Canis lupus familiaris: one gene and its partners. The protein of the gene in region 3 binds, or shares a complex with, the protein of the main gene of each other region. Links are inferred from orthologs where the notes say so. Each region holds a gene or a part of one and is shown on either strand. Other genes may lie near its edges.

The links. The genes of interacting proteins can lie anywhere in the genome.
Region 1: KAT5 (region 3) and MBTD1 share a complex: the UniProt entries of both Homo sapiens proteins name them as parts of the nuA4 histone acetyltransferase complex. The link is inferred for Canis lupus familiaris from reciprocal best matches to the Homo sapiens genes KAT5 and MBTD1.
Region 2: KAT5 (region 3) and MORF4L1 share a complex: the UniProt entries of both Homo sapiens proteins name them as parts of the nuA4 histone acetyltransferase complex. The link is inferred for Canis lupus familiaris from reciprocal best matches to the Homo sapiens genes KAT5 and MORF4L1.

The regions. Positions count from the first base shown.
Region 1 is NC_049230.1:26,979,936-26,983,590, reverse strand, and holds part of MBTD1 (MBT domain-containing protein 1), read left to right. Parts: intron 1-835; coding exon 836-970; intron 971-1,231; coding exon 1,232-1,320; intron 1,321-1,534; coding exon 1,535-1,769; intron 1,770-2,378; coding exon 2,379-2,434; intron 2,435-2,778; coding exon 2,779-2,883; intron 2,884-3,655. UniProt on the Homo sapiens protein: Chromatin reader component of the NuA4 histone acetyltransferase complex, a multiprotein complex involved in transcriptional activation of select genes principally by acetylation of nucleosomal histones H4 and H2A.
Region 2 is NC_049224.1:58,633,729-58,637,383, reverse strand, and holds part of MORF4L1 (mortality factor 4-like protein 1), read left to right. Parts: intron 1-1,354; coding exon 1,355-1,401; intron 1,402-2,973; coding exon 2,974-3,041; intron 3,042-3,655. UniProt on the Homo sapiens protein: Component of the NuA4 histone acetyltransferase (HAT) complex which is involved in transcriptional activation of select genes principally by acetylation of nucleosomal histones H4 and H2A.
Region 3 is NC_049239.1:52,003,445-52,006,248, forward strand, and holds part of KAT5 (histone acetyltransferase KAT5), read right to left. Parts: coding exon 2,755-2,804; intron 2,678-2,754; coding exon 2,588-2,677; intron 1,216-2,587; coding exon 1,075-1,215; intron 997-1,074; coding exon 903-996; intron 128-902; exon of another isoform or gene 1-127. UniProt on the Homo sapiens protein: Catalytic subunit of the NuA4 histone acetyltransferase complex, a multiprotein complex involved in transcriptional activation of select genes principally by acetylation of nucleosomal histones H2A and H4.

The sequences.
Region 1 (3,655 bases), on a different chromosome or scaffold from region 3:
CCGCGCCTGGAATAGTTTGTTGGGCCTTTTTTTATTCCCCTGAAGGCCTTAAATTAAATTGTAATCTGTTACCAACAGAAGGTTTATTAAATTATAAAGAGGATATATCATAGTTTTTGTTCTAAAAAGTAAGACGTCCTGTTTGCTTAGTACATACAGTTTTTAAGTCATTTAACATACTTTTATTTGTGTTTATTGAACTTTGTTACCTAGCATTTTCACATTTTATTTCCAAATAAATAGTACAGAAAAAATTAGATGCTTGAGATAGCCAAATCCAAATTATCCAAAAATATTTGGTCATCTAATCCGCTGGATAAAGCAGTTTCTTTGAAATGTTACTTTAACTATATTGCTGTGACTTGACAAGGTTTTCCTAACTTAATATAACCTTCTTTCTTTTATTTTCAAAACTACACATTCTGGTAGGACTTTCTCCCCTGTTTCCACTGAGAATTTCTTCTCTAGAACTTAAGAAACTGGGGGTAAAATCAAAGTACATTAAAAGGGAGGAAGCCATGCTCTGAAAACAATTAAGCTAATGACATTAAACAACTGGTTCTCAAAGTTGGAGCCATACACTAGTATCTGCAGCTTCACCTGGGGACTTGTTAGAAATGCATATTCTCACACTGCCCCTAGACCTAGTAACTCAGTCTTAGAGTTGGGGGCGGGGCAGGGGGCTGGTGGTGCTGACTGCTCACATGCCCTGCATGGGATTCTGTTGCAGGTGCATATTAGCAAGTGACACCCACCCACCCAATGGCCAGCAGTTGTGTCCTGTTTTGTTTCATTTCATTTTCTTCTTATGTGGTGATTGATTTGTTGGTTTCAGGTTATAATGCCCTTTTAAGATATGAAGGATTTGAAAATGACCCTGGGCTAGATTTCTGGTGCAATGTCTGTGGCTCTGACATCCATCCGGTTGGCTGGTGTGCAGCCAGTGGAAAACCTCTTGTCCCTCCTAGAAGTAAGTATAATTTAAATATGTGTACCTCAGTGCAGTGTCACACAGAATAATATTCAAGTGATATCAAAATTACAATATTTTTTGGTTTCATGTAACTTAAATACTGGCAAGACATATTTGTTCTGTTTTTGTTAGTCTTCTTCAGAACCTTAATGCTCTGAATTGCAGGGAAAATTGTTGTGGTTTTTTTTTTGAAAAAAATAGTTTATAAAGCAATTCTACTCTTTGCTAAAGTGTAACTGGTTATTTCTTTTGTTTTAGCTATTCAGCATAAGTATACAAACTGGAAAGCTTTTCTAGTGAAACGACTTACTGGTGCCAAAACACTTCCTCCCGATTTCTCACAGAAGGTAAAGACAGGATCTTAGAAAGGACTGAAGTGTCAATTGAGAGCTCTAAAAAAGGAATAGCCTGGAAGTTTTTTTAAGGAATTGTTTTAATTTAGTGAGCCAGATGATCTAGTTAAATGTCAAGTGCACTCATTATTTTTAATGGTACAGTACTGAAATTATTTGTAGACCTTTGTCATGAATTCCAAACAGTTTTTGTCTGTTTTTATTTAAGGTTTCAGAGAGTATGCAGTATCCTTTCAAACCTTGCATGAGAGTAGAAGTGGTTGACAAGAGGCATTTGTGTCGCACACGCGTGGCAGTGGTGGAAAGTGTAATTGGAGGAAGATTAAGACTAGTGTATGAAGAGAGTGAAGATAGAACAGATGACTTCTGGTGCCATATGCACAGCCCGTTAATCCATCATATTGGTTGGTCTCGAAGCATAGGCCATCGATTCAAAAGATCTGGTAAGCACTTGTCACAAGACCACCTGTTGAAAACATCATTGAAGCTAAATTGTACTACTTGGTTATTTTTTCTCTACAGAATAGTAGAGATCAGAAATAGCATTCTAGTTATCTGGGCTGCTCATTCTATCTTAATTTAGGGAAGGTTCACACCAGAATATGAGTGTCCTAATATATTTATATTCCTTCCACTTGTTCTCAATTCAAATATAATGTACTTTTCATCACAACTACATTGTCTTACACTTTTCCTGTTCAGCCCATTTGAAAGATCTAAAGGTAGCCATTCCCTTTGCATTCAGTTTTAATCAAAAGAGGAAGATTAAATGTGGTTAGACTTAATACTGAACACACGTAAAGAATACTTCTAAAGTTGTGATTCCCTAACTAGGGAATTACCAGCATTCTGATTGGCTGAATGTATTTAATAGCACATGTACTCAGAAGAAAGAAAGACTATAGAGGATATTTTTCACCATATATGTAGAAGGCATGTATTTCTGCCGTGTTTTAGAGTATACATACCTTGTGGGTTTGAAACCTTCAAAGAAACGTGGTTTTGGTCTTCTCACAAATGCTGACAGATTAGTATGTAACTTTTCCTTGTAGATATTACAAAGAAACAGGATGGACATTTTGATACACCACCACATTTATTTGCTAAGGTAAGAAGTTTTTATAAGAACCCTCATTTGTAAATTAGGTTTGAAAGAGGGTTGTGGGTTTTTTCCTAAAATAATGGAAATCACAATTATATTTGTTCACTTATAAAAGGATTAAGACCTTGTGATCCATAGGTGTCACAACTATTGATTATAATTACTCTTAAATTCTGTCTATTTGCCTGAATTCTCTATATTCTCTAACGGAGGTTTGAGTTATAATATTAGGTAGGTAGGAAAAGGCATTTTGGTATTTTCATCTGATAAACATTTTCAGTTTGGTAATATTTTAATTATTAAAATGATAACATTTGTAATGGTGGATGTGCTTTCATGTAATTCTTTAGGTAAAAGAAGTAGACCAGAGTGGGGAATGGTTCAAGGAAGGAATGAAATTGGAAGCTATAGACCCATTAAATCTTTCCACAATATGTGTCGCGACTATTAGAAAGGTAAGACTATAGGTTTTAAAATACAGAAATGCATTTGTAAGAACTGGTCTTAAGGTAATAGGAGGAAGAGGCCCTTAATATACTCATTTTGACATACAAGGTGTATGTATCTGGATCTTCACTAGGGAGAAGGATACTAGTAATTTCAAAATAAATTTCAATTTTCATACCAGTGTTTTTATGTGGCTTGTCAAGATTGTCATCTTGAGTCTGCTGCCTTTATTTATGGAAATACATATATCTTGAGTTAAGAGGAAGAATATTTAAGTTACTTTCTGCTCAAAGCTAATCCAACAGAGAATTATTTTTTTGTTTTGGGAGTTTTTTGTAAAGATTTTATTTATTAGAGAGAGAAAGAGTATGAGCAGAGGAGAGGGGCAGAGAGAGGAGAAGCAGACTCCTTGATGAACAGGGAGCCCAACATGGGGCTCATTCCCAGGACCCCAAGATCATGACCATAGCTGAAGGCAGACACTTACCGACAGAGGCACCCAGGTGCCCCCAACACAGAATTGTGACTAGGCCAAGTTTATCTTCAGTTTCCAGTTTATTTCCTTTTGTGCCTTTATTATTCTTTTGATAGTACTTTATTTCTTCTTTTTTTTCTTCTTCTCTTGTGAAGCTGCTTTTGTGAAAAAATCAAGAAGTGTGGTTTTCAATTTAAGTAGGCATCAGAATACCTTGGGAAACTTAAAGAAAAATACAGGTGACCAGACCTCTTAAATGCCTACCACGCGTGTTTTGATTTCATTAGTCTGCTAGGGAGCCCTAG
Region 2 (3,655 bases), on a different chromosome or scaffold from region 3:
GACTCCGTGATCTGTGTAGCTTTGATTTCTACTTTCATATGTTATCCAGTGATAGTGAACTATTTATACTTAAATGGTAGGTAGCCTAATAGTGTTTCCTTGTCATGTTTCTATGCTTTTGTACTGGTTGCTTCCCTTTCATAGGGCTCACCTGCAGGCAGCCTGCTTCCCCCTATGCCTATGTCTCTGCCTCTCTCTCTCTCTCAGGAGTAAATAAATAAAATCTTTAAAAAAACAATAAATTGGTGAAAACCTTATTGCCCTATAGTTTTAAGAGTTGAGCTGGAGGTGCCTGGGTAGGTTAAGCATCTGACTTTGGCTCAAGTCATGATCTCAGGCTCCTTGCTCAGCAGGGAGTCTCCTTCCTCTTCCCCTCTTCCTCTTCCAATGTGCGCTACTCTCTCAAAATCTTTAAAAAAAATGTTGAACTAGTAGGTCATTTTTAACGATTTTAGAGCTGAAAGAGCTGTTTGTGGTGGAGTACTTTTGTTATCTTTGGGTCTGATGAAATCCAAGGGGACTGAAAATAACGTGCAAGAAAATCCATTTCTATAGTAATTGAAAGTGATCTTCAGGTCTGCCAGGAATTCACTGCCTGATTGTCTGATGAGCCAAGTTGGCTTCCACATCTTAATCCCTTACATTTAGTTACTCTTGCAAGTCTTAACTGTAGGTTTGACATAGAGTATGATTTCCGAAAGTTAGAATTCTTATTTTAGTTGGCCAGTAAAAGGTTTGGAAGGAGAAGATAATAGGGAGATTATAGGGTTCTAAATATGGAAATATTTTAGGGGCCCCTGGGTGACTCAGTTGGTTAAGCATCTCACTCTTGATTTTGGCTCAGATCATGATCTCGGGGTCCTGCTGTGGAGCCCAGCATCAGGCTCTGTGCTCAGCATGGAATCTGCTTGAGGATTCTCTCTTTGCCCCTCCCCTCTGGTGGCCCATACCCATGAGTTCTCTCTCTCCCAACTAATTTTAAAAAATCAGGAAATATTTAAAAAATTGTGTTCTTCAGATATTGAAAAATCCAAATCCTGCCAAAAGGTTGATACAGTGGATTTTATTGGTTTATAAGGTGTTAGATGATTTGATGATCTACATAGATTGACATTCTACTCAATTTTTTTTTCTGTTTACAATGTGTATGAAGGTGATTTTTTTGTTGTAAGGTACTATTGAAGTTTGACCTGAAGTATTAATCTGTACATAGCCATACTCTGCCAGTGTTTCAAGGAATACATGGGAACACATGATGACCCTCCCACGTGACCCTTAGGTATGAAGAGAAATTAAAATTAACCTGGCATTTTTTTTCTTTTTTTTTTTTTTTTTTTTTTTTTTACTCTTACAGGTGAGCGAGTACTGTGCTTTCATGGGCCTCTTCTTTATGAAGCAAAGGTATGAAATCTGTTTTCCTTTGAGAAGTTAGCTGAAATGACTGGTCAGATGACTTTTGAGCATCAGATTTCAGTGGTTGGTAGGAAGAGAGTTAGTTGCCTTTTTCAGATTGGTAGTCCATAGAGTCCGAATGGGTCAGGTACAGTATTGCCACCTTGTCTTTTACCTTGTGACCTGCTGATGGCCCAGCAGCTGGAGGGAGTATTTGAGGGGAAAGGTAAAAGCCTGGTTGTTTGTGGAGCAAGTGCATTGTGTACTTAGTGACTTGTGAGAAAATACTGCCAGTCAGTTTTGGGTGTAAATGATGCTGAGTGAGCTCTAAACTAACATGGCTGCGTTAAAGATAAACGTGAACATTAAAAAATGTGACAACATTGAACTTGCTGGTTTGTCTGTCAGAGTTTGAACCCCAGGGGCTTCCTTTCCTCTGTATCAGTGCTGTGGTCCCGCAGTCAGAACTGATTTTACATTTAGCCGGAGGTAAATGAGATGATGTGTTCCCAAGTAAAACAGATTTCTAAAAGTATATTGTTTCTGCTTTCAATGCAAATATGTTGTGACTGTTTTTAACACATAATTTTTAAAAACAGTATATAAAATAATAAAGCATTTAGTTAAATACAATTTCTACAGCATCTTTGGTATTTATATGTTTGAAAATGGTCTTAATCTTGAAGTGCCCATGTGACCAAATAATAACTGTTTTTACGATTTCTCAGTTGTTTCAAATACATAGATGTGTGTTTTTAAAGTTCTAAAATGGCTGAATATGGATTCATGGAGAATCTGGTAACTTTATGTTTTAATGATGTCATACTAACACTCCGTAAGTTGTGAATTCTATCAATCGTTTATATCTCTGAATGTTACTTTGTTGTGTCACCTCCACTAACCTGGCAGATTTTTTCCCTCAGGCAGCAGAAACTCCAGGGAATGATTTTTAAATGGCTGTTGGGATGGCTTAAACTATCATGGTTCTCTTGGTTTACTCAGGATAGACTTAATCCAGAACGAGTAGTGATTGCTTGTCATAGTTAATGATTTCCTCATAATTCATTCTAATTTGGCTTCTTTTAAGAACATAAAATGTTTTTCATCTGTCACTTGGCTAGTTGCTGATATTCTGCAGCAGAAACAGTTGATTGCCTTCCATAGGTAAATGACACTTTTTAATAATTTGGTATAAATAATTTTCTTTAGCTAAGTTTGTTTTTGAAATACATAATGGCTTCTGGTTGGTAGACTTTGAGAAAGTGCAAACACGGCTTTAATTAGCCGTTCTTGGAGTGCTGAGCCCATTGATTTAAGCGTCAGGGTGACCTCTTAGGGGGTTTTCAGCTTTGCTAGACTGGATCCAACAGATGGTGACTCTGAGCATCTTTATGACTGGTGATGAATGTGAGGAGCCCGGAGCTTGAACTCCTGCCTCTGTGAGAGTCACATTTTGTTGTGCTCGATTTGGCCATCAGTCTGAAAGGAGTGTCTCTGAAAGATCGCATACTTGAAAAGCACACGTGATGGTTGTCTTTTTCAAAACATATTTCTGAGTGAACTTTTTCTTTTTTATTTCAGTGTGTAAAGGTTGCCATAAAGGACAAACAAGTGAAATACTTTATACATTACAGTGGTTGGAATAAAAAGTGAGTATTAGTATTAGATCTTTAAGAGCAATGTTTTATTTCTAACAAGGTAGCTTGTGTCCTGTGTGTCATGGTTTTAACCTAATACATTTATCAAAGCAAGGGTATTGCATTTGTAGTATGAAGAAAGTAATAGAAACGAGGTTACACAGCCATTTCATTTTGAATTCTTTGGATTATATCTGTTCTAGTAGAATGTCTAATAATTGTTAGGCATCCAACTATTTTTCTGGTTTTGGTACATCTTAGTACAGCTTGAGTTTTTTGCCTCAGCACAAATTCATTTACTATATGTTATTGCAAACAGTTATACTCAGAGCTAGTTGGATTTTCCTGCCTAGAAAAGGAAAAAGGATAAGGTTGCCTGATTAGGAAGTAATGACCAACTTTTATATTCTGAGCTTTGGTAACAAATTAGGCAGAGAGTGATTTCATATGGTTCACTTTTTAGAATATTAATACAGATACAGAAATTTAATTACACAACCTAATGTTTCACCTTGAAGAGTTATTAGACTTTTTTTTTTTTTTTTAAGGAGTGTTGTACTGATCTGTTGTTACCGGGAGTGGACAATGGTCATAGATTGAACACATTCTAGGATACCTAGCCCGTG
Region 3 (2,804 bases):
GAGGTCTGAGCTTCAAGGCTTGGATTCATTTTAAGTATCCGCCCACATATCAGGCTGAGGGCTTCCTGAGAATGTGACCCCATCTTGGCATCATTCTATTAATAAAATAACTCAAATGGATCATGACCTTATCAAGTCAAGCCACTGTGACTTCACCAAACAGCTAAGGCTCCCTCCTGTCTCTCAGGTCAGAACTTAACTATCCCAAGGGTTCAGTGAGTGGTGAGTTGAGTGGAGTGATGTAAGATGCTGGGAAGCAAAAGGGGGCCTTGCGGGTGGGGGACATAGAAGAGTTCACGGATGATGAGGGGCAGAGTCCCTTGTGGGCTTTAAGAGACTGACCTGCCTGAATCCAAGGAGCAGAGACCAAATCCACACAAATCAGTGCTTCCTTATTTTTGCTGAGTTAACATCACTTTAGCATTTTGAGCATCCACTATCTGCAAGGCTCAGGTTACAGCTGGGATAATGAAGCACTGGTCCTCACTCAGGAATTTGTATGGTGGCATATGAAGCACTGGTCCTCACTTAGGAATTTCTATGGTGGCACAGAACCAGGCAGATGAGCAACAGTGGCTCACCTGGTTTCTGCTGATGGCTCCCTGGATGGGAGCATATGAGTCAGATTTGTGAAAAGTTGGGTGGTGCTTAGAACCTCACCCAAGGAAGAGTGAGGAGCTGAAAACCTAGCCCAGACAAGCAGGGTAGTTGCCCTGAGAATGGAGAAAGCCTTGGGAGAGTCCCACCTTTATTTCTGGCCAGCTACCCTGGTGACAGCAGGGTTAACAATCATAGCAACCTAGCTTGTCTACAAGGGAGGCACAATGGCAGCACTGGCACTGAGCCTGGGCCCGCATGTACCCACCCCGGGGCCCCTGGCCGGGAGCAAAGGTACTACTCACTGAACTCGATCAGCAGCTTGCCGTAGCCCCGGCGCTGGTAGGGAGGCAGGGTCAGGATGCAGGCCACATTGTAGTCTTCTGTGGATTCCTTTTCCTGGAAAGGGGAGGAAGGTGAGTGAGGAGGGGACACAGCTCAGGGCAGGGCCAAGAGATGATCTGGATGAGCACTCACCTTGGAGAAGTAGCCGACGATGTGGAAGCCCTTGCAATCATACTCTGTCATGACATAGAAGAGGAAGGGATCTGTATCATAGTACAATGTCTTGTGGTCGAGGAAACACTTGGCCAAAAGACACAGGTTCTGGGAATAACTCTGCAAAGGAAAAGGCGTGTCACCACTCTGGGTACCCTGTCTTAAATGTGGTCATTTGGTTTCTTTACCCAGGGCTGATAGATGATGAGTCTTCCTCCCTGGCACCTGACCCGTTCTATTAGGCTGTCCCTCCTACTCAGGCAGAGCTAATTCTCAGAGTCAAGGAGCCCATGTACCAGCTCTGTGATAGTGTCTGACCTCCTGTCTTGCTGGTGAGCTGGGCAAGTTTACCCCTGTTCCCCATACCTCCCCCTAAGTCTTGTCTGGGGGGTTTCCACTGCTCTCTGCTGCAGTAACAAAAGTCAGTAGGTTGTGGCATGTCTAGAAAGACACTGCCAAGGCTTAGGAGAGGACCTCTACCCTGGTGACAGTCTTAGGAATCTACCTTTTAAAAACCACAAAACTAAAAAAATAAAAATAAAAAAAAATAAAAAATAAAAACCACAAAACTCTCCCGCCTCCAGTCACACATACTGGAGACTGATCTCCTAACCTACAATGGAGATCAGGTGTTCTGAAACTGAAAGTAACTGCCTTAGGGGTCTCCCCACCAAAAGGATTCATCTTGCTGCTTTGCTTTACCTCTATACACATTTTCTGCATATGAGGCATGACTTTTTAGCCAGATGCTGGGCCATCAGGATGCCCAAGTCCACACAGAACAGTAGTGAAAGCAGCCTCCTTCCCTTGAGCTTCCTCAGCACCCAGGCCAGAGCTCTACCCTGTAATTCAAGATGCCCTGCTTCTCCCTTACTGCCCCCTCTTTGCCCCAGGAATGGTCCCACAGTCTTAACGGTCCAGATTACTCCCTTCTTCCTTCCCACAGACTAAGGCAGGTTTGAAGCCCAAAACCTGCAGTGACCCCTACTCCTCCCCCAACTGGCCACCTTCTCCCCACCTGAGCTCTGTATCTTGGAACAGCCTTGCCTCATCCTCTCTGCTTCTCAGCCAGAATGATCTTTACCTTTCCCACCATCTGTACATCCACGACTGCCCTTCAGAACCCCACTCCTTGGGCTTCCCTTACCTATCTTATCCTTCATGTTAAGGATCAAAGATCATCTCCTATGTGAAACTGCTGGCTACCTCTGGGTCCTGATAACCCATCCTTTGTTTCATGACACTTATCCCTGGGATCTGAGTGGATGTTGGCAGATCTGTTTTTGCCATGAACTGTGAACTCAAAGATTCTAATTACTGGTCATCTTTATACCTCCCACTAACTACCTCACAGCAGAAACTCAATAAAAATGGAATGAGCTAATCTGTTGGCCAGACTGCCTAGTATTTTCCTGAGCAGGAAAAAGCTGCTCGTTTAACTTCCCCCAGACCACCAGTGCCAATGACTCCCCACTGCCCCTCAGCCACAGACCTTGTTCTTCCGTCCATCAATCTCAAAGAAAGAGATGGTACCCTTGCGGTAAATCTCATTGCCTGGGGGGTGTCGCAGGTCACACTTGGTCTGAGGAAGAGAGGAGGATCAGAGGCAGGGACAGGGTGGGGGATGGTAGTAAAGCAACCTCCTTGGACCCTTCATACCAAGTGACGCTGCAGACACTTGAGACTACGGCCGTATTTGAGGCAGAACT